2 linked regions of the Tribolium castaneum genome follow. The protein of the gene in region 2 binds, or shares a complex with, the protein of the main gene of each other region. Links are inferred from orthologs where the notes say so. Each region holds a gene or a part of one and is shown on either strand. Other genes may lie near its edges. The genes, in order: Nxt1 and nuclear RNA export factor 1.

What was found.
Region 1: the proteins of nuclear RNA export factor 1 (region 2) and Nxt1 are in contact, whole or in part, in a crystal structure (PDB 6IHJ), measured with the Drosophila melanogaster proteins. The link is inferred for Tribolium castaneum from reciprocal best matches to the Drosophila melanogaster genes sbr and Nxt1. Residues at the interface, in NP_524660.1 of Drosophila melanogaster: Leu359, Leu360, Glu361, Thr362, Lys363, Ala364, Ser365, Tyr366, Met404, Leu405, Ser406, Ile407, Ser408, Met409, Pro410, Gln414, Arg426, Asn427, Leu428, Arg429, Arg438, Thr439, Leu442, Tyr444, Thr467, Val468, Asp469, Thr471, Ile472, Met477; in NP_611833.1 of Drosophila melanogaster: Met1, Leu5, Val9, Glu10, Ala13, Asp17, Arg21, Thr43, Ser45, Trp46, Asn47, Gly48, Asn49, Gly50, Ile52, Tyr60, Leu64, Leu71, Asn72, Thr73, Leu74, Asp75, Ala76, Gln77, Pro78, Ile79, Val80, Asp81, Leu91, Met93.

The regions. Positions count from the first base shown.
Region 1 is NC_087394.1:2,875,778-2,885,928, forward strand, and holds Nxt1 (NTF2-related export protein), read right to left. Parts: upstream 4,068-10,151; 5' UTR 3,963-4,067; coding exon 3,954-3,962; intron 3,897-3,953; coding exon 3,810-3,896; intron 3,755-3,809; coding exon 3,431-3,754; 3' UTR 3,401-3,430; downstream 1-3,400. Other genes in the region: mri (BTB/POZ domain-containing protein 10), read left to right, coding at 445-809; three prime repair exonuclease 2, read right to left, coding at 4,483-4,672, 4,730-5,012, 5,071-5,296; cyclic GMP-AMP synthase-like receptor, read left to right, coding at 6,651-6,737, 6,784-7,194, 7,244-7,399, 7,443-7,583, 7,629-7,926, 7,974-8,077; three-prime repair exonuclease 1, read right to left, coding at 8,334-8,541, 8,996-9,455, 9,503-9,794.
Region 2 is NC_087399.1:3,665,738-3,677,515, reverse strand, and holds nuclear RNA export factor 1, read right to left. Parts: upstream 5,324-11,778; 5' UTR 5,187-5,323; coding exon 5,132-5,186; intron 5,079-5,131; coding exon 4,816-5,078; intron 4,766-4,815; coding exon 4,679-4,765; intron 4,631-4,678; coding exon 4,196-4,630; intron 4,148-4,195; coding exon 4,038-4,147; intron 1,942-4,037; coding exon 1,905-1,941; intron 1,856-1,904; coding exon 1,442-1,855; intron 1,395-1,441; coding exon 1,221-1,394; intron 1,164-1,220; coding exon 1,015-1,163; intron 967-1,014; coding exon 867-966; 3' UTR 694-866; downstream 1-693. Other genes in the region: Rint1 (RAD50-interacting protein 1), read right to left, coding at 5,530-5,743, 5,792-6,318, 6,411-6,745, 6,853-7,078, 7,144-7,537, 7,583-7,756, 7,802-8,037, 8,088-8,222; alcohol dehydrogenase [acceptor], read left to right, coding at 8,632-8,788, 8,836-9,333, 9,809-10,968; forkhead box protein N2, read right to left, coding at 11,446-11,778. UniProt on the Drosophila melanogaster protein: Mediates the export of the majority of mRNAs from the nucleus to the cytoplasm. In ovarian follicle cells, plays a role in transposable element silencing regulation by enabling the nuclear export of flamenco (flam) transcripts and subsequent piRNA biogenesis.

The sequences.
Region 1 (10,151 bases), on a different chromosome or scaffold from region 2:
GAGGGCGTCTAGTTAATTTTATTTCCGAATTTGAGCAACAATAAAAATAAATTATTTTTGAAACGGTTTCCTAGGAAATAATTCCCAGTGTTGACACATCTACACATTGTGATTTTTTGGATGAATTTTAATTTTTTTAAATTAAAAAAACTGCTAAAATCTGAGAGTAAATTTAAAAATAATTATTCATCGTTTTGTTACGGAACGATTACCTGGTGTGAAACATAAAAACATAAAAAAATAATGAAAACTAAAGAAGTTAACACAATAAGTTTGTAGCTCCAGATTTTTTAAAATATAACTTTAGGAATTTTTTCAACATTTTTCCCGTAATCTGCACTTGCTTCTCAATAACGTACCACTGAGTTGGTGCGCCAGTTTTTGAGCAGCCTGTATATCTAATTTTATTAAAACCCTCCGTTACGCGTCGTGTTCCAAATTCAGGTTATCCAACCTATAAGGAAAAAGTGAAGAAGCGTCCAGGCGGCAGGGCCGAAGTGATCTACAATTACGTCCAAAGACCGTTCATCCACATGTCGTGGGAGAAAGAGGAGGCGAAAAGTCGTCACGTTGACTTCCAGTGTGTTAAATCAAAAAGTGTCACAAATCTGGCAGAAGCCACCGCTGATCCAGCTTTGGAATTGGACGCCAGAGGGAATCCTATTGTTGCAGTGACCATTTCGGATCCGCCACCGCTCGATATGGCCCCCTTGGATATGCCCCCGGGGGGCGATAACGACGAGGGGGCGGTGGGAGGAGGGCTTCCTGATCTAGACGTCGCCAGTGTACCCCCAGAAGAGCAAAATTAGGAAATTCGACTGAGAAGCGTCGCTGTATCTGTGTAATTTTTTTGTTTGTTTTTTTTTTCAGAGATCTGTTGCTGTTTTGGGCCAATGATATTAAATGCCTATTTTGGTCTAAAGTATGTGTACAGGGTGAGTCAATTATGGGTTATTTCTGACATTTCAGAATTAAACCACCATTCATCCTGTATAAAATATACAGGGTGATTTTTAAAAAATGGCAGGCGCTGTAGTTTTTCTTTATGGCCCAATTTTAAAAAATAAAAAATCATTAAACGTCACTTTATATTTTGGGCTGTAAAATAACAACTTTGTTATTTTAAATTAGAATTTCCATTTTCTTTTCATAATTTCAAACATTTTAGCTTTTTTGACAAAAAATTTATAGATTTGAAAAAAGTAATAAAAGTTAAAACCAATGCCATTATTGTTGTGTTAAAAGTAGTAAATAAAAGAAAGTATGAAAAATATTTTTTCAAATATCTGTTATTTAACTAAAATAATTTATTTTAAAGAAAGCTATTGACACCATGCAACTGGATTTTATTCCAAATGGTGTAATTTTTGCTTTTTATGAGAGTTTAAAGATATTTTTAAGCATAAAATATATTCTTCTTGTGGAATTTTCAAAAACTGAACCAAAAAAAATTACTAAAATTGAGTTATTTTGCCTTTTTTAAATGATTTCCAACCGAAATGCAATTGTTTGACAAATTTTTATAGAAAAATTACCAAATTAATTCATTAAAAAATCTAATTAGTTCTGTATTGTTTCGGCATTTATTTCGCAAAAACCAATCAAAAATTAATAAATTGGGTGGAAATTAGTGAATTCTTATCTTCTGTGGAGGTTTAATCACAGTTTTTGAGCTTAGAATTAACAGATTTTTCAAAACGAAAAAAAATTGAGTCAAAAAAATATTATTTTCATCGTTTAGCAAAATTTCGTAAAAATCGAATAAACCAATCAAACATCAATAAAATGAGTGGAAGTTAGTGAATTTTTGTCTTCTGTAGAGGTTTAAGTACAGTTTTAAGCTTAGAATTGACACATTTTTCAAAATGAAAAAATTCAAGTCAAAAGTATATTTTTTCTCTTTTTTGGGCATAATTTTTTGGTCAGAAAAGCATCTTTTAGCAAAATTTTGTAAAAATAAACCGAATTTCCACCAAATTAATTCGAAAACACAAATTTCAGAAGTGAACAAAAAATGTATCGAAATATTAAGTCATTTTGCGAAATAAACCGAATAGACTGAAAATGAAGTTAGTTTTGAATTTATTATGCGTTTAACCATATTCTGAAGCCAATCCTTTTGCGTTAATTTCCCAAAAATCATGAAATAACCTCGAAAACGATAATTTTTGCCTTCTTTGATAATTGAAGCAAGCTTTTAAGTTTGTTTTTAATATTAGGATTTTCGAACAAAAAAAATCATCAATTTCAGTGGAAGATTGCTTTATTTTGGCTTTTTTGAACATAATTTTTCAATTGATAAGTAAAATTTGGTGAAAAATCCCGAAATAAAAAAAAGTTGTAATTTGCTTATTTTATGGCCTTTAGGACATTTTTCAGGTACAAACCCAATTATTTTACTGGAAATTTGGGCACATTTTTTAAACTTTTTGTTTTTATAATCTAAACAAAAAAATTTTTCTTTGGATTTTCAGAGCTATCTAGCAAATTTTCAACCAGAAATTGTTCAGTTTTGCGTGTTTCAAGTGTTTACTCATCTTGTAGGCTAAAAACGCAGTGATTTTGCGAAAATTTCTCCGAAATGAGTAAAGCATTCACTCAAAATAGCATTTATTAAGCAGTTTTTTAGCCAAATAATGGCCAAAAAAAATCGCCGGAATTGAGCCAAAAATGTGTGTTTCCAAGGTTTAAACATGTTTTTTAAGTTCATCAAAACCAAAAACACGTCCAAACATTTCAGGCAAATAATGTTTCAATTAATCATGTAACAATTAATAAATTTTAAAACAACTGATCAAATTTTATGTGCCAAGGTGAGATTTTCTGTTTAATGTTTTTGAAAGAAGTTAGGTACAAAAGGAGAACAAAAAAACTAATATTTTTTAGATTATAAAAAGAAAAAGTTGAATATTATAAGCCCAAAATTACTTTAACAAGAGTATCAGCTTATACTCGATTAAAAGTAATTTTTAGTGTTTGAAATCGGGCCATAAATAAAAATTCTCCAGCGCCTGTGTTTTAAAAAATCGCCCTGTATAAAATTTTAGTCCTCCAATAAATGTGGATCAGTTATTGTTACCGCACATTTCAGGTTAATAATGTGATCACGCCGGCACAATTCAAATGTTTTGCCTTAAGTCAAGGCTGAAAATGTTCACTCTGTATATAATAGCTGTCCTGGCTGTGCCCTGTAACGAACTGGTTTTGATAACACATTCCTTTGATTTACAAAGTCCAAATTCGCGAACCCTTGAGACTGAAATTGTAGATTGTTTTTACTTTGCTCATTTATTTATTTGTACATATTGTATCATTTCAATTAATCTGGCATTACGCTTTGCTTTTAATATCAATGTAGCTTAAGGATTTTATACCTGTTGTTTTTATGAAACGAAATAAATGGAGTTTCAACGTACAAACTTTTATTTTTTCAACTCTTATCGTTAGTTAGGGGCTCCTGCAGTCGGAAACAGTCGCTTACGATTTTCCACTTATCGCCCTGCGCTGTGATTATGAAATTCTGCTGGAAGGATTTGGGGACCCTGTCCTGGTACCTTACCGTTCCACTGACCTGGATCATGAACGTGAGCTGGCCATTTACCGCCGAATCCAAGACAGGCTGCGCGTCCAAAGTGTTAATTATGTGATCGGAAGTCGGCAAATCGATGAAAAATTTCTGGATGCGTTCGTTACCATTCACCCCATTGCCGTTCCAAGCCAGGAGACCCGAATCCAGATACAATTTCGACATCAACTGAAGAAAAAAAATATTTCAATTATGCGTTTTGACGCACGAGGGGGCGAATTACGTGTCGCCTTTTGTCCGAAGTTTCGTAATAAAGTTTTGTGAACTCCTCAGCCACCCGGCAAGCTTGGTCGATTTTGCTTTTAACAATCTGTAAAATTAAGTAATTGGAGAGGCAAAGTGTTGGTGGTCGTATTTTTGACGCTACCTGAGTCATATTTGTTGTAATTACGCCAAAATTATTAAAACATTGGGGGCAAAAAAGTGAGGTTATTTGCACAAATTTGTTTTGGGACAATGCGCAAGCGCGTCAAAGCTTGCGTCGGCGGGAAATTTAAATAATGCGGGTAATTAAGCATTTTTTTATTTTTTAAAGAAAAACAAGGGTATTAAACTACGCGGTAATGAAGCTGTAAGCCCTACTTATTGCTGGACAATAATTTGAGACTTATTGTAGAGCTCAAAAAAAAGTATGAAAAAGTATTTAACCGCAAACGCTCAATTTTGTATGATTATTGATTTTTGAAATAATATTGTAAAAATCTACTTCTAGCAGTTTCACAGTAATTGTTAATTTTCATCGGGGGGTAATTTTTTTGAGACGGGAAGAATTTAGTGTTTTTTGCGAGGGCAGGGGAACTATACCAGTGATACCAAACACTAAGTTGCAACATTCTTTAATCAGTTATTATAAAAGCATAAAAAACATTTTTGTGTTAATGAAAATGTCGTAAAAATCAAAACTTTGGTTTCATAATTGGCATTTGCGAGAATTTTGTCGAATTCCCGTTAGCAAATTTGACGAATTTTTGGCCATAATCTGCCGCACAAGCGAGTAGCATGTTTACATCGCCTTCAGCCCCATGGGCATTGAGTGGTCTTTTGGAAAGGCGTCTTTTAAAAACATGTCCCAAGTTATAACTCGTGCTGAAATTTAAAAAAAAATTTTTGTTATTGTCAACAATTATAAACATCATTACTTACTCAATTTTTCGTATTTTTATTTCATTTGGTTGATTTATTACCGCCCCTCCCTCTAAAGTATCAATCTCTTTAAATGCGATAATGGAATCAAGACAGAGAATATCCTCGGGGAGATTTTCGCCAGTGTTTTCGATCTCTGCCCTCAGAATTGGGAAATCAAACTCGTTTCCGTTGTGTGCAACCAAACAAATTGGTTTTTCATTTACATCTAACCAGTTTTTTATCACATTCAAGGTTTGACTCGAAAAGTGTGCCTGGTGTTCCAGTAATTCATTGCTGAGCCCTGAAAGTTTATATTATCACACTTTTAGCTCACACTAAAATAGGAGACAATAATTTACCGGTTAGTTTGGTGGCTTGAGGACAAATGGCCCTCGCAGGGTTGAAACACAAAGATAATTTACTTTGAACTCTTGGAAGTTTACATTTCTGTGCAGTCTGCAGTCCAATATGATCTGCTCTAACTGCCACTGCACAAAATTCGGTGATTCGGGTCCTGTTCTCTTCAAACTTGGGCAAACCGGTGGTTTCCAAGTCGAAAAAAACGAAAGTTTTTATTTCAGACATTGCCACAAACGACTGGTGTCAACTGGTGCTTCCAACTAGAGAAAATCTTTGTTTATTTAGTTAAAAACAGTTCGAAATCACTCGAAAATGGAAAATCACTTTTCACTTAAGAGCTATAGATCGTTTTGGGATTGTTGCTCAGTTTAAACGCTTTACGCATGCGTGTTGCGGTCATTGGGCGAAAAAGGCGCGAAAACTGGTGATGACGTCAGTGTAAAGTCTAAAGTAAGGTTCACACAACGTAAGACAATTTCAAACAGTGTTACAATGCAAATTTTCTGTTGGTGAAAATAATTGTAAAAACGTGGTCATTTTCCATACATAATTAATGGAAATCACGTAAAAAAAGAATGCGTGAAGCCGCCTTAAGTTATTGCCAAACTTTCAGTAGCGAAGCCACTAGATTGGAAAGTTTTCAAAAACGTGTAATTTTCTACAAATTTCTTCTTAATATTTTTCTAGTAACTCCAACCATATTTTAAAAAAATAGTTTTTTTCTCATTTTCTAACAAAAATTTTAATCTCCAACGTTTAATATTTTTGCATTTTTTTCTATATAACTAATGAATTGGTAAGATTTAAATTAATTTAAATCGATCTGGCGCCCTCATTCTAACTTAGCCGTACTATTTTTTTGGGTTCCGAAAATTCTGCGCCTCCTAAGTTATAGTCTTCTTTATTAAAAAGTCTAAAAAAGAAAAAAACAAACACTTGTTATTATTTATTTATTATTTTATTATCGAAATGTTTTGCAAAATTAATCAAAAACTTCTGAAAAAGTCAGTAAATTTTATCGAATACATTATTTAGTAAATTTGGTCAAAATGCAGTATTTTTTACGAAATGTTGCTACTGCGGCAAATCAATAAAATGATTTGATTAAAAGTTATTTCGAAAAATACAAGGACATTTTCTGCAGCTGAAAAAGCGCCAGATTGGCGACACTGAATGCAAATGTCCCGAAATTTAGAGCATGTCGTTCTGCTACTCAATGATAGAGGGCCTAACATACTAAAATAGAAAAATAAATTCAATGACCTTAGGCCACAAGCCCAGAAGATGGTGAAACTTCTATTGTAATTTTTATTTCCCATTTATTTATACGTACTCCAATCAATTGTAAAAATATTATTATTTGTATGGTTCGCAGATAATGTGCTTTTTAATATTATCAAGAGTAATTTAATTGTGATAATGATAAGCAAGAGTTAGGTAATGTTCCAGGAATCACACAAAGCTTTAGACCATTTGTGTTGTTATTTGTTCTATTTTTAACACTGAAACATTGCAAGGTCAAGTTTCGTGCATTTTAATTTTATAGTTAGCAATTTATTTGCCACATTTTTGCGTCAAAATGGAAAACATCTTGAACGACATCAACAAGAGATTTATCTCACTTCCAGAAGAAGATGTACGCGGTAACAAACAAATTCTTGAATCTGTAAGTACCAAAAAGTCATCTTCCAAAAAAAAACGAGTTGTTCCAGGTGTTGCGCACATTTGTTGAGCAAATGAAGACTCAAGACCCCCTTTTTAAGGCCCTCTTCAGGCGCGTTTTCTACGGTGGTAGTTTTTATGACGGTTTGAAGGTTGGCAAGCCTGAAGAATTTGACCTGGACATACTTTTGCACATTCCTATATATGCTCAGCCCGTCTTAAATGAAAGCAACGTTCCGGGCTTTGTTTGGCTCAAATTAAACAACCTTGACGGGTGGTTGAGACAACCGGAAGGGCGGGTTTACAAAGACTTTCGAAAAAAATTTTTAGCCGATAACGATTTCCTAGACACTGGGAAAACACTACGTTGGATGGAAAGCCTGGTCCAGAAAACCCTAAACACGCTGCCTTGGGTTAACAACGCCACCTGCGAGTTAACAAACGAATTTGGAACGTTTCATGTACGGTTGTTTTAAATTTTATTTTAACACAAAACTATTTTATTTGTAGATTAATTGGTGGAAAGGCGGGCCTGCAATGACACTGGGGATTTCCCACAGTTCAGGGGAGAAAATTATGGACGTTGATTTAGTGGCCTGTTTCGTTTTTTCTGGAGACAAATGGCCGATTAATGGCTACAGAAGCAACCCCTTCCCGTCAACGAAGGTTAATGTCATTTGAGAGAGAAAATCATTGATTGTAATTTTAGCCGGAATTTTTCATTGTTCCGAAAAAACCGCAAGGACCGGTGAATCCCCAAGGACGCTACTGGAGTTTATCGTTCCAGGAGCAGGAAAGAGTGCTGATCGATAATAAAAATCGGTTAAAACCGGCGGTTAAGCTAATCAAGGTGCGATTCAAACCTGGCTTTCATTAGTATTAATTTTTTTTTAAGAAATTGAAGGAGAAGACGCACCCAAACATTGCCAGTTATTACATTAAGACTGTGTTTTTACATATCATTGAGCAGAAAGATCAGAGTTTTTGGAATAAATCCTTGAGGGAAGTTTTTATGACCACATTGCGAGAGTACAACGAATTTATCGCAGACCAGTCAATTCCTTACTACTGGTGCAGAAAAAACAATCTAATAGGGCATCTAGCGCCAATAACTTTGAATAATATCAGTAACCGGATCGGTTACATTATCAAAGATATTGAAAATAATCCAGAGAATATTGCCAAGCATTTACGTAAGTTTTAGGAGAAAAAAGTCATACGACTCAATTTTCGTTTGTAGTGACCAAGGAGGAATATACCAAATATATTCAAGGAGAGGATGTAATGGCAGAGGCATTACCTGCATTACCGGCCTCCCAAACTTCAAGTTGTGTCATTATTTAATCAATATTTTTATACATTCTTGTATAAATAAAATTAAAGATTCTGATCAAAGTGGCCTTAGTGAAGTTAAGTTGGCAACATAAACAGTCAAACCGAACGTCACAGGTCACTTTGATCAGAAGTTTTAGAAAAAAAAACTACATATTAAAAGCTAAATTTACATATCAATAATCCTTCTTATACTTACGCCAAAAATAAGGCACTACATAACACACATATTAGTCAGTATAAATAAAATAAAAAAATGATAAAATCATTAAAATCCAATTCTTCTGCCGGGCGTCATGGCTGGAATTTCTGACAGTCTTTTCGAATTATCGTTTGCATATTTGACGAATTTTTCGCCATAAACCGCCGCACAAGTGACTAGCATCGTAACATCGCCTTCGGCCTCATGTGCACTGATTGGTTCTTTAGAAGTCAGTCTTTTGTAAACATCTTCCAATTTATAACTAACGAATTCCCTGAAATTTTCACAATTAGTTATAGTATACTAGCACAAAAATGAAGTCAGATTTTTTCAAGCAACTTTTTTTTATAAATTTTTTCATTTGTTTTCCTTAGCAACGGTATCGAATTTAGATTTTTAAAAAATATTAGATCTATAAAATTTAAAATAAACATAAAATTTTGTGAAAAAAAATTAGTTATTAGCCTATGAGGCAAGGTTGCCAAAGTAAAATTACAAGTTTGTTGCCAACCTGAATCACAATCTTTAATAGTCACCCTGTATATTTAATTTGGTTTTCACGAGTTCTGAAATTGCTCTTATGCGAAAAAGCGGGATATTTTTGTGTGATTTGGAGCGTCCCTTGTTTCATTAAACGTTAACATTTTTGTTTTTTTTTTAACTTAGCTGTCAAAGTCAAATTTCGCAGAAGCATAGAAGCATGCAGAAGCATGTATAGATAAACATACCTAATGTGCCCAAAATTACGTTTGGTTGAAGCGCCAGGGCCCCCATTTCCAGTTGTTGAGCAAATCTTTTGTTTTTGTGGCGTCGTTTCGTTAATTTTTTGTACTTGTTCAGGTGTGAGTTTCATTTGCTTTTCATACTCGTCCACTGCTTGGCTTAAAAGCTCATCATAACCGTCGTTAAACTCAAACGGTATTTCTCCTTTGGGTGGCTGTTTCACCGCCTCTGCCTCTAACGTATCAATGCTTCTAAATGCGTTAAGAGAGTCAAGACAGAGAATATCCTCTGGTAATTTATTCCGCGTTTTTTCGACCTCCGCTCTCAGAATTGGATAATCAAATCGATTCCCGTTATGTGCAACCAAACAAATCGGTTTCTGATTCATCTCTAACCACTTCCTTATCACGTCCACTGCGTCACTCGAAAAACTCGCCTGGTACTCCAACAAGTCGTTCGAGAGCCCTGAAAGCCCAGATGCACTTTTTCGCATAAAATCTAGCGCGAATTACCTGTCAGGGAGGTGGCTTCGGGACTAATCATCTTCATAGGGTTGAAACACAAGGACAATTTATTTTGAACTCGGGGGAAGCACCCGAGCTCGATGTGGTCCGCTCGGACCGACACGGCACATAATTCGGTAATTCGGGTCTTGTTGTGCTCCAAATGGGGCAAACCGGTGGTCTCCAGGTCTAGGAAAACGAACGTTTTGATTTGAGACATTGAGGTTTGGTTGGCTTGACTCGAGTGGGGCACCAACTTGTTCAGTTTTAACAGTAGGCTAGTGAGACCATATCTGCTCATTCTTAATATATTCTTAATATCGTAATGTAGTCATAAGTGCCTGCTAATTGAGCGCAATTAAGAGGGAAAGTTGTTGTTTACCTTTCTGGGAGGGCGTGACGCACGCCACTGTCTGCCGGCACAGATTAGAGAGGTTAAGTAAGTGATCTGTGCTGCCGGTGCCGGTCGTCATTTTGATTAATTTATTTAAAATTTATGAAATATTGAACAAGACTAAACTATTAAACGATAATATGTGCCTGGACAATATTTAATATTCTACATGTTTTTGGGCTTGAAAATAGTGATTGGTGTTTTTCGAATTGTTAGGTTGGTGCCGCAACTAAAATTTTTTGCATTTTTTAAATTGAGACCACA
Region 2 (11,778 bases):
TGAATTCACCAATGTTATCTGGGAAGTTTTTGTGTTTACAAGGCATTTTCTAAGTGTTTTGGATCTTCAGATATTTAGGTACTTTAAGAGTGAATAAAAATTAATGATTTTTGAAGGGTTTGAGGCCTTTTTCAGTTGTTTTCTTTTGGGAGAACAGCCATATTTTCAGGCTTCTGTCTTATTTTTTAATGGCAAATAATCTAAAGTCTTGTTCAGTTCGTATTTCTGAATATTGTCTTTATCTCCCAGTCATTTTGGGAATTATGATTAAATGTTATGATTAATATTTTATTGAAGATTTTTTCCTGAGATAAACAATTGTGTATTTTTTCCCAAACTTACCTTGAGTTAGTAATTATGTAATAATAAAAAATTAGCAATCATAAATTAAATTAAGCATTTCCTCAAGTTCAAAAATATTGGTCTAATTTTCACGCAGCAGACAGTCCTAAATCACCCAGTAATTCGAAATATGGCCTGAATCAGATAACTCCAAGCCCAAAATTATCGAAATATAAACGTAATAGCTTCATTAACTCCAAACCCCTTATCCAATAAATAACTCCGCTTGACACTTATTACTCTTTTATGTTTCTGATATTAAATGAGGCAGAGCTTTCGTATTCCCTTCGCACAAGTGTGTTAAATAACACACTTTTCTGGCATAAATCACCCCAAATAAAACAACACTCCTGTTATTCACTATTTATTATAAAAATAACTGACACAGTCTCATTGAAATTAAGCTTCATTCACAAACATAATCGAGTGTTTTTATTTACAGTTGTAATAAAACTAATGATAAACATTATCAAATACAAATTTTATAAAAAGAACAACATGATGACTTAATTCGATTTATTTCACTATTTCACGAACGCTTCAGGCGGGATTAGTCCTTGTTTTTGCGCATCTGCGAACGCACTCAACGCTCGGGTAAAATCCCACTGGGTTTCTTCCAAACACCTGGCAGTAATCAAATTAGCCAAACGTAAATCCACATCTATATTTTACCTCCTTGACCACTCCAAATTCATGGTGGATTGTTCGGCCATTGCGGTGACCATCTGTTGCCTCGTGGAGTCGTCAATGGGCGCAGGGGTTGCCACAGGCGACGCCACCGGAGTCGGGGGCGGCGCCGAAACCACAGTCTTGAAAATATGCTAAAAAAATCACGAGTACAATACAACATTTTTTCTTCAAGTTATTAATCGACAAACCTTGGCTTGCTCGTCGGTGGCGTTTGTAATATGCAGTGTTTCATTCGAGATACAGAAACCTGAGCCTGCAGGTACTATAACGAGTGTTCTGAAAAAGGCTCGCGTCGGAGGCACTTTGTGTCCGCTTTTCAGTTCTTTGAACATCCCAGTGACCGTTAAAACGATCATTAATGGCTGAAGCAACGTTATCACCAACTTGACGAAACCAAAATTCGACTTACCGTAAAAACAACAAGATCAACCGTGAAACTGTGAATATCGTGTTTACTCCGAGGCATTTCTTGCAGAAATGAAACAACAGCCACTTGGCCCTGTTTCAGTAGTTTGTTTCTCCGATCCGGGTCTTGGACCTTTTGCAGATTCCTGCTATCAGTGGTGTACCAGTTTAGCCAACTGGCATTCTTGTCTCTGTGTCCGTACGGGTACGACATGGTCATTGAAAATAGGGCGCTTTCGTGATATGCTTGTAACAAGGGTTGGCGATTTTCCGAATCGAAAATTAGAAAATACTGTTCGAGGAATTGTCGAACTATTGATTCGCCCTCTTGGTTACATAAAAATGTTTGTTGGATTGGTGGTAAGTGGGTTTCTTCCTGAATGTCGAAACTTATGGGTGGGGGTAGATCGATTCCGTCCTTTGAATGGTTTTATGAAGAGGCGAACAAGCAAATTAAATAAACTTACCAGTTTCATTACTTTGGGGAAGCGTTTGCGGACTTCACTGCGGAAAGAGAAGAAGTCACCCGAAGGTGTTAACAATGGAGGTGGCAGATTTGCTCAGCATTTATGTTTAGATGAAAAACAAGAGGTTTTAGTCAAAATGGAATCAGACTGACAAATTGATCGAAATTTAAGCGAGTCAATGTGACAGAAAAGAGAAGCGTAAACTCAGAACGTGTGACTATTTTCGTAACGAACAAAACAAGAAAATTTAATGAAGATGTCTAGAATCTAATAAGAAATTTGTGACGATCAGGAAATCGAAGACGTTCTCCTTCGAGTACATTTAACTTGAATTGACAAAGATCTCAACACGTTAATACTTGAAAATCTCACGAGAACTATTCGCTACGTTTCAAGAATTCGGAATCAATCCGATTAGATTTCGGACAATGGAACATGCTTTGTTTCTTTTATAATCGTTTAGGATTTTATTCTAGTCTTGAAGCACAAAGTTCTGCAAAAAAGCCAGTCTATCTAATCCCCTAATGGTGCCACAGGATACTATTGTACTATACACCTGCTCCAATTTGGATGAAGCACCCTTAGGGACATCCCTTTTTCGTTTTTTATCTTTCATTTAGGGCGGATTTTACAATCGTAGGATTACTTTATCTAAGAAATAAATTTTGAAAAATACATTGTTATAACAATTGTAACCATAGTAATTATACTAGAAATAAATTATCTGGGGTTTATCTGACGATTATAAAATCCACCCTTGATGAAACGTTGAAACTCATTCAAGTATTTAAGCAAAAATAATTTATTATGTAAATATGTTGTAAATATTTTATTATGTAAATAAAAAAAGAAGAAATACTGCTTTATTTTGAATTTTTTTCTAGGAACGGAATTATAACTATGTTACAATTGTGAATTAGTGGGATAAACTCATTCAAGAAGTATTTGGGCGAAAAAAAAATTATTATGTAAATGAAAAAGAATAAATACAGCTTTATGCTGATTTTTTTTCTAGGAACGGAAATTGATTTAGTCACAAATTCTGAGTTAGTGATTTTTGTACCGTATTTTCAGCCACTTCTCATTTCCTAACACATTATTTATTTGAAAAAAAATAGGATACAATAGCTCCAGTATTTTGTGCCCTCTTCAGTTTAATTCAAAAACTTACGAAAATCTAATTTTGTACAAAGTGTTAAACAATCAAAATTTATTGAAGTTTGTTATTTTGGGAATTAAACCTCCGAGGAATTTTGCAACCGATCAGACAGTTGTTACACAATTTCAAAGTAAGACAAGCTTCGTAAATTTAAAACTAAAACAGCATTACACGATCAACAATTTATATTACTCCTGCATTAAACAACAAAACTAATAAATTTAGAATAAATCGCCACTGAAGAGCATATAATTTTTCAATTTTTTAACGGTATTATTTAGTATTTCTTTTCATTATTATGTCTTGTATCAATTCCATAAGATTACTACATAAAACAAAAAAATATAATAATTATTGTACTATGAGGAGTCATTGATTGTTTAAGGTGCAGAAAAACAAGACAATCTGCTTGATTTACAAGCATTTTTGCCAAATTACATACACATTTAAGTGTTCTGGTCCACTCCTTGTAGTTCTTCTGTCTTCTTAAACTAACTGCATTGTTTATGGACAGCAAAATCTTGCAATGCTTGTCCAGCTATCGCTTTACGAAGCTTCGTAACTGCTGTAAGGACGCACCTTTGAGAAACCTCCTCTCACTTTGATAATACAAAACAAAAATTATGTAATCCCATGGAAATGTTTGTATGTGATTTTTTTTTATTTTTATACACTTCAGTGACTTAATTATAGTCAAACAATAATATTAAAAGGTTGCCAAATGCAGAATTCAGCCACAATGCAACGAAGCCACATGTAATGCTACTTAAGTTTTAAACAAATTATCGCGAAAATTTGGGACTTTGAAATTTGCGTAACAACAAATTTCGTTAATAATTTTCAAGTACTTTTATTCCATTGTTGGCAGAAAACCTCTTTTTTATTCAAGTGACAATCTCCGATAACCAGTCACCCTCATATGCATTCACGTTCATAACATGATGACTACAAAAAATAAATTAGTTCAACATTACCCAATGTACGCCTCTTGGTCCTTGTATTTGTTGCATAATGGATTTCCATTTAAAACAATATCGACGATAGGTAGTCCAATAAAAGGGTCCAACATTGACAGATCCTTAAACTGAATCCCCAAATTTACAAAATCCCCGATTTTGGGCAACAACATTACCTTATTATTTCCTAGATGCAAAATTTTTAAATGGGGCAGTTTCTCATTGGTCTTCTTTAAATACGACAAGTTTGCTATTTTGTTATCGAATAAATTAATCGCTTCAATTTCTGGGATATTCTCCGCGATTATTTCCAAAACTGTTAGAAAAATGATCGGTTTGAACAGTACACAGAAATTGTCTTGTAGGTCAGGGTCGGCGTGGAATTTCGTTAAATCGAGCGCTTTATTAGCGGCATTGTACCGCTTAGCCATCGTTAATTTAATTTTCTCCTTCATCTCACTATTAACGTCAACATTTGGCATCCCATGACTGACCTTAATCAGCAATTTAAACCCGTCGGGCATTTGAATCTGGCGATCTAAATCGTACAGCTTTTCCGCGGCTTTAAACTCATCCATGTAAAAAGTGGCAGTTGTGCCGTTTACACTCCACTGGAGACAAAAAATCAGTCAAAAACCCTCACACAAACAAACCATTACCGTAATTGGCCACAAGGGCAAAGGTTGGATCCGCTCGAGCAGCGTCTTCAAGACGAACGCCTTCTCGTATTTATTCCCAAACGGCAACTAGCAAAACACGTGTAAAACCCCCAAAAAGCCTCACTTAATACACTTACTGTCACGCGGTACCAACCGAAGGGGCTCTCCAAAAGCCGCCGTTTCTTGTGATTGGGCACGGGCGAGTCCCCGCGACCGCCCCGTCTGCCTTTAAACTGCTTCCGGTTGAAGTTTCGCCCGCCCCCGGACGAGGCCCCCATGTCAATGTCTTCATCTTCCAGGTACGCCCTACTCGCCGCTGCCCAGTTTCTATTGTCCTTTTTATACTTGTTTGACTTGAAACTCACTTTGCGGGTCTCGCCACCGCCGCGAAAATCATGCTCTGGCAATTTACTGCGTTTTAAACGAATCGCGTGGAGTGTGCTGGGGACTTACCACTGTATTGGCTTCTCCACGACGGTTTGTTGTATTTTCCGCCCTTTGAGGCCATAGTAGCGTCTCAATTACTTACTAGCACTTAACTATAACTATTATTGTTTTTTTAATAATTTTTTTGAGCCTGATTTAACACCACTTCACTTTCGACAAGTAAACGCCATTGATACGCGCTGCCAACAAGGCGAGGCCAAATTCCCTGAGAAAATCACCGACTTTTGAATAGTAGAGTACAGGAAATTTGTAAGGTTCTGACTTGTTTTTTAAGACGCCAAATATTCTGGCCCAGAAGTAACATTTTATACTCTACTCTAGATTCACTTACAGGGTGATTCAATGAAATGCAATGGTGGGGAAAACATTTATTATAAAATTTCTCAACAAAACGTATAAATGCTTCAATCAACGTCCATCCTATTAACAGTAATGTCGGTGCGCTGGTTTAGAATCTTAACGGCCATTTTTGGGGTGAAGCTGACCACCCCAACCTCCTTGAGGGCTCTCCCGCGGGAGTCCTCAATACCTGTGGCCCCCTCAAGAGCCAAGAGAGTCTCTCGTAGTAGCAAAGCGGACCCTTTAGTTATATTTAAAAGATTGCAAGCTTCAATCAGTCTGCAACAGTTCTTATTTTCCACTTTACCGACTGAGTAAATAACTTACTGGACGAAATACGTTTCGGGCCTTTCGGTATATTGCGAAAATAACGGCAGTAAATTCCTTGTTACGTCATACTTTAACTGCAAAGCGCCTCCAGTGTTAAATCTATTATCAAGGACAAGATCCTCAAAGAGGTAATTATCTAATTGTTGCGCAACCGAGCGCCAAACTATCGTAAAAAGTTTCGAAGCTAGAGTTTTTTGCAGTTGGTGTAGTCGTTTAGCCACGATTTCGAAAATAGGGCAGGCTGTGGGTGTTAAAGACAGGCCTTTGATGTCTTTACCGACATTCATAGAGGACCACCTTTCCCTCCTGTAGGCTTTACCTTGTGACCTGACTTCCAACATGACATAATCTGATAAATTAAATAACAAGTCGCGTCTCATGTGCCTATAGAGTGATAAAGTTTCGGCAAAAACAGTTTCACCCTCAATATCCGTGGGGTCAAAGTCGTCCGAATCACTTGACGGGCTTGTGGGTGCTTTGTAGTCATTCAACTGGCTTTTGTAGTAGTATAAATTCAAATAGTGCTGAAACACTTGCATAAGTATAGATAGTGCCATTTGATTGGCTGAAAGTCTGCGTTCAGCCAATCAAATCGCACGGTTCGAGCCAGCCGTACCAACATTGCCCCCCAATCAACTAAAACATTCTCGATGTAATAGATCGTGTTAGCAATCGTGGGGATCTTCGATTCGACTATATTTTCATGTTCCGCGTTAACCAGTTGCAATAATCTTATTCTAAAATCATCCAGTAACTCTAACTGGAGGTCTAAGAACTGCAAGCGGTGGCCGGGTTGTGGCAATGCCTCGTAACGTTCCGTGATTGTCTGAAGAAGCGTTATAAAAGCATCGGCACATGTTGTTATTTTCAGCTCTTCAATATCGTAAGTTAGCGGCTCGAAAGGATCGACTGTGGCTGAGGACATCATCGCGTCCATTTTTTCCATAGCATCTGACAAAATATTATCAGAACAAATTATCTCCTAGGCGATTGGTCGCACAACCTCCTTCTTATTTTAAATTTAAATTTAAGGAGGCTGTGAACTCACGCCAACTCACATTTTTTCTCCATAGCCATCCACTTAATAATGATTTTAGCTTGAGTTAAAACGGCTAAAATACTCGGCTGCGTCGGTGGATAACTGTAGGTTTCACGCAATTCTTTATCAAAGCCAAGAGCTTCGTCAATAGAGTGCGAAAAAGTGAAATCGTCAAATTGTAAGTTAGGCAAATCAGAGTTTAGCTTCTCCACAGCCAACTGTACAAGGCCTCTGATGAATTCCAACTGTCAAACAAAATTTTATTATTAGAACTTAATCATAAAAAAAACAATTAAATAGAGAAAATTACTTTGGCGTCAATGTGGTGGAGCCCCAATTTATCAATCACCGGCTGAATCCACTTGACTAAAAATTCGGCATGGTCCCTGATCCATGTTAAAATCTGGGTAAAGTACCATTCGGGCTTATCAGGCCTGTTGGTCTGACGGGCGCCGTAGAAATGGTACAAAAACCGTTTCTTTAAGGGTTGGACTAGGAGCATAACTGGGAGACAAAGGGGTGGAAAATCGCTCAAAAGGGCCGAAGTTATCCTCGGATCAATTGTCTCACTTGGAAGTTCGATTTGGAGCAGATATTCTGCCACAATTTGTAGCTTCAGAATGCTGTTAGGAGAGGGCGTTTGTAGACTGAAGTTTGCACTAACGAATGGCCATTTGAGTGATTTCATTACGTCATCGAAATCTCTAAAATGTTAGATAAAGACTCGAATGATAAATCAGACCAGTTACTTTGCTAGTTTTTCCTTTAGTACGTTGTGCCAATAGTGTAGAGTGTCCTTGAGATAATTCCTCAAATTGCTACCTTGAAAATCAGTTAAATTACGGCTGATTTCGCACAAATTCGCAAAAATTGTGACGCACTGCTCATCGTCTTTTTTCTTAAATTCGCGTTCTAATTCGTCGCTAAAATTCGATTATTGCGAGGGGAAAAACTACAGTGTGACCAACCTCAAAAACTCAATTCTCTGTATGACTTTAAAGTACTGGAAGGTTGTTTGTAAGGCATTTAATTTATCAAGACGTTTCTGCACATCTCGCCTCACATCTTCAACTTCAACGAGATTTGCTTTAATTTCGTCAATAACATCGGTAGTTCTTTCCAAACAAAGATCAGTGTTTTGTGCCGCAATTTCCGCCTCTTTGACAACTTTACCAATCGAAGATGACTCATCGTTTAAATTTAACTAAAAATCACACTTTAAGGGGTGGGAACTTGGGGAGTTGCATTAAAAACCTGTCTTTCAATCTCAGACTTGTTTTGTTGCAATTGCTCATAGATCTTCTTACATTTTTCGTAATTTAATAAATCTTTACCGTACTTCTTATTCAGTTCATTAACTAATTCTTTTTTTGATTCCGATGTGGTCATTTTAAGGCGATGTGGCACATAACCTCAGTTATGACAATGGCCCAGAATCGACAAAATCGGTGCGTTTATCTAGCAATTAATACAGTAAATAATAAATCCCATAAGTTAATAAGTATTTTAGCACAATGTTGCATCAGATTCTAACACCTGTGGGCAAAGTACGATTAATTAAGTTAGACTCATAATTAAATTAAAAACATACGTTATATTTACAGACGTGCATCAAATCAATTAGTAGAAATCAAACATTACGCGTGTTTTTCAGCACTAAATAACCCAGACAAATTTAAATAAACTTCTTGACAGGTGGTTTAGTTGTAACCTCACTTCTATTTGGCATAACCTCACTTTTGACAATTTTCGGCCTTTTTTTATTTCAAAATTTCCGTGTAAAATTGAATTAAACACAATGTGTTGCTCCAACCCTGCGTTCTACATAAGTGTCTACGTTCTCGCTGTTAATCTATTCGGGCTATACCTTAGATTTGTGTACTTTCACAACTACTTTGAGTGCTTCGCTTGTCGAGAGCTGGATTTCAAGGACCAGGCCTACGATTACATTGTAGGTTGGTATAGACGCCCAGTTTTAACAAAATTACTCAAATTGAGACAGTCGGGAGCGGCTCAGCTGGAAGCATCGTCGCTCGAAGACTCGCCGAAAACCCCAGCGTTAAAGTTTTGCTAATTGAAGCTGGGGCTAGCGGAAATGGCATTTTGCAAATCCCGACTGTTAGTCTCATGCTACAAGACTCGGTTTTTGACTGGCAGTACCGAACGGTGCCCCAGAAACATGCCTGTTTGGGGCTTGACAAAAAAGTAAGTCATTGGCCCATGGGGAAGATTCTGGGGGGCACGGCGATGTTAAATAACATGATTTACGTCCGGGGACACCCCCAAGACTTCGCCGAGTGGTATAAAGATTCCTGTAATTTCAACTACACGATCGACGTTCTTCCCTACTTCAAAAAACTGGAAAGCAACGAAACTAACAAGCACAAATGTTCAGTTTTCGTGGAGGATATGCCGTTTAAGTCGAACTTGTCGGATTATTTTCTGCAAGCCGGGTTGTGTCTCGGCTTTGGCCTATCAGACGGGGTGAACTCAGAGCCTGGTACATACACTAGAACAGCGCTGTCCAGCTGGAGAACTTTTTGTGTTTTTTTTTTAAATTGTCGCAAAAAATTTAAAAATCAACAAACTAGGTCTGATTGTCAATTCTAAACAAACTGAACTAGTTATCTCACATAATTCTCAATGCCAGATGATTTTTGATTTAGAAACTCACTGACAATACCAAGTGATTTCGAACATTCCAACGACATTTTTTCCTTTTTGTGTGGAATTTATAATGTTATCATCTTTTTCTCAGCCATTTGTTTAGCTATATGACGAAACTTTCAAATGTCTCTAAGCAAAAAGAGTTAGTCCTGACATACGTGAATGAAAATAACATTTTTTTATAACTATCTAAATGAAATAACTGTATTTTTTGTATTTTCGGAAAATTATTTTGCAAAAGGCAAAAAGGCTCCAGTGGACAGCGCCGGCTCCCCCAGTTAGAGACCCAATTCATTAAAAAATTGTAGGTTTTTCGGCCACTAAAGTAACAATGCGTAACGGCCAGCGCTGGACGCCTTACCACCAATTAGAAAAAACCAAAAAACGCAATCTAGTCGTCATAACTAACTCTCTAGTCGAAAAAGTCCTCTTAAAATCCAACTACGAGGCCTACGGTGTGAAATACACCCACTTGGACGAAACCTACTACGTCCGTGCCACCAAGGGTGTGATTCTATCGGCCGGCGTGATCGGCTCCCCAAAAATCCTCATGTTATCGGGCATTGGCCCCAAAAAACACTTGGAGAAATTAAAAATAGCCCCCAGACTTGACCTACCAGTCGGCGACAACTTGCAAGACCACGTAACCACCGGACTGGACCTCATCACGCTGGAAGCGCCCCCCGACATGGGCCTGCAGCAAATGCTGTCGCCGTGGAGCGCTAGCAGGTATTTTCTGTGGGGGGAGGGCCCCTGGACCAGTCCAGGGTGCGAGAGTGTCGGGTTTTTCAACAGCGAGGACGGGAAAATCCCCGAGTTGCAGTTCATGATTCTGCCGTATGGGGCCGCCATTGACGGGGGCTCCTACTTAAGGGGGCTGGTGGGAATCGGGGAGAGACTCTGGGAGAGGTATTTTCGGCGAGTGAACGGCTCGACTATGACCGTGCTCCCGGTTGTTTTGCACCCGAAAAGTCGGGGGACCGTGAGGCTCAAAAGTAAAGACCCCAGAACGCCGCCTTTGATTGACCCGAATTATTTGGCGGAGGGGTACGATGTTGATATTCTTTTGGAGGGGATTGAGCTGGTTAAGGAGTTTTTGGAGACGCCGCCAATGCGCCGCCTGGGGGCTAAGCTGAACGCGGTCAAGTTCCCCGGTTGTGAGGGACTTGAGTTTGATACTAGACCCTATTGGGTGTGTTATGTCCGCCATTTTACGTTATCAAGTTACCACCCTGTTGGTACGTGCGCTTTGGGGCGCGTGATTGACGAGGGGTTTCAAGTCAAAGGCACCAATAAATTGTACGTTGTTGACGGGTCGGTTTTGCCCAGCTTGCCCAGCGGTAACCCCCAGGGGGCTATCATGATGATGGCGGAGCGCGCGGCTGAGATAATCAAGCACCACTGCTGGTTGAGTCAGAGGCGGTGCTGCTCGTCCGACGTGTTCCAAGACCAGTGCAGCTGTTACTAATTGTAATAATCGGTGGTTTTATTTAAACTACACCATACAGTTCACTTCTATTTGAATGGTAGAGTACAATCATATTGCTGCGTTTGAGCAAACTGTGTAAAATTACAAATATTGCAAAAGACTAGAATACAGTTTTTACAGTTTGTTCAAAATCTACACCTATTATTTGTTGTCCAAATACAAAAAATACCCTTTTGGTAAAGTAGAGATCTCAACTAAGCCTAGACCCTGACGGGTCGAACCAAAAATAATAAATAATACGAGTGTATAATACAAAGCCGGTCGCAGGACAGGCCCCTCTTGGGGACCCGCCAAGGACCGCCTGGACGGCTCCTCACTCTTAACAATATATTTAGTAAAATATTTATCCTCTAAAACTATCTCAGATATTGGACGGAAGAGTTTCAACTGTACAAAAATGACACACTGTGCTACACAAGAAGGCACAAACCACTCGTGTGCAAATGACATTGACAATTACAAAGAATCCAGCAACGAGTCGAGCATCTCCAATTGGCATTCGTCCCAGCCGTTGGTCGCCAGGAGCAGCCCGGTGAGCTCGTCCTCGGGCAGCAGCTGGTTGACCGGTTCGGTTATGACATTCTGGTTGGGCACCGGCGTGATGTCGTCGCTTTTCGCCTCTTTGTCCTTCTCGTCGTCCTCGTCGCAGTTTTCGATGTCGGTCTCGCCGCAGATCGAGATGTTCGAGAGGATGTTGTGTTTGCGTTCGCCGGTGCTTTGGGGCGGGCGGTACCGACGGGCCTTGCGGACGGGCTTATGGGGGGCGTCCCGGTTTCTGGGCACGCGGAC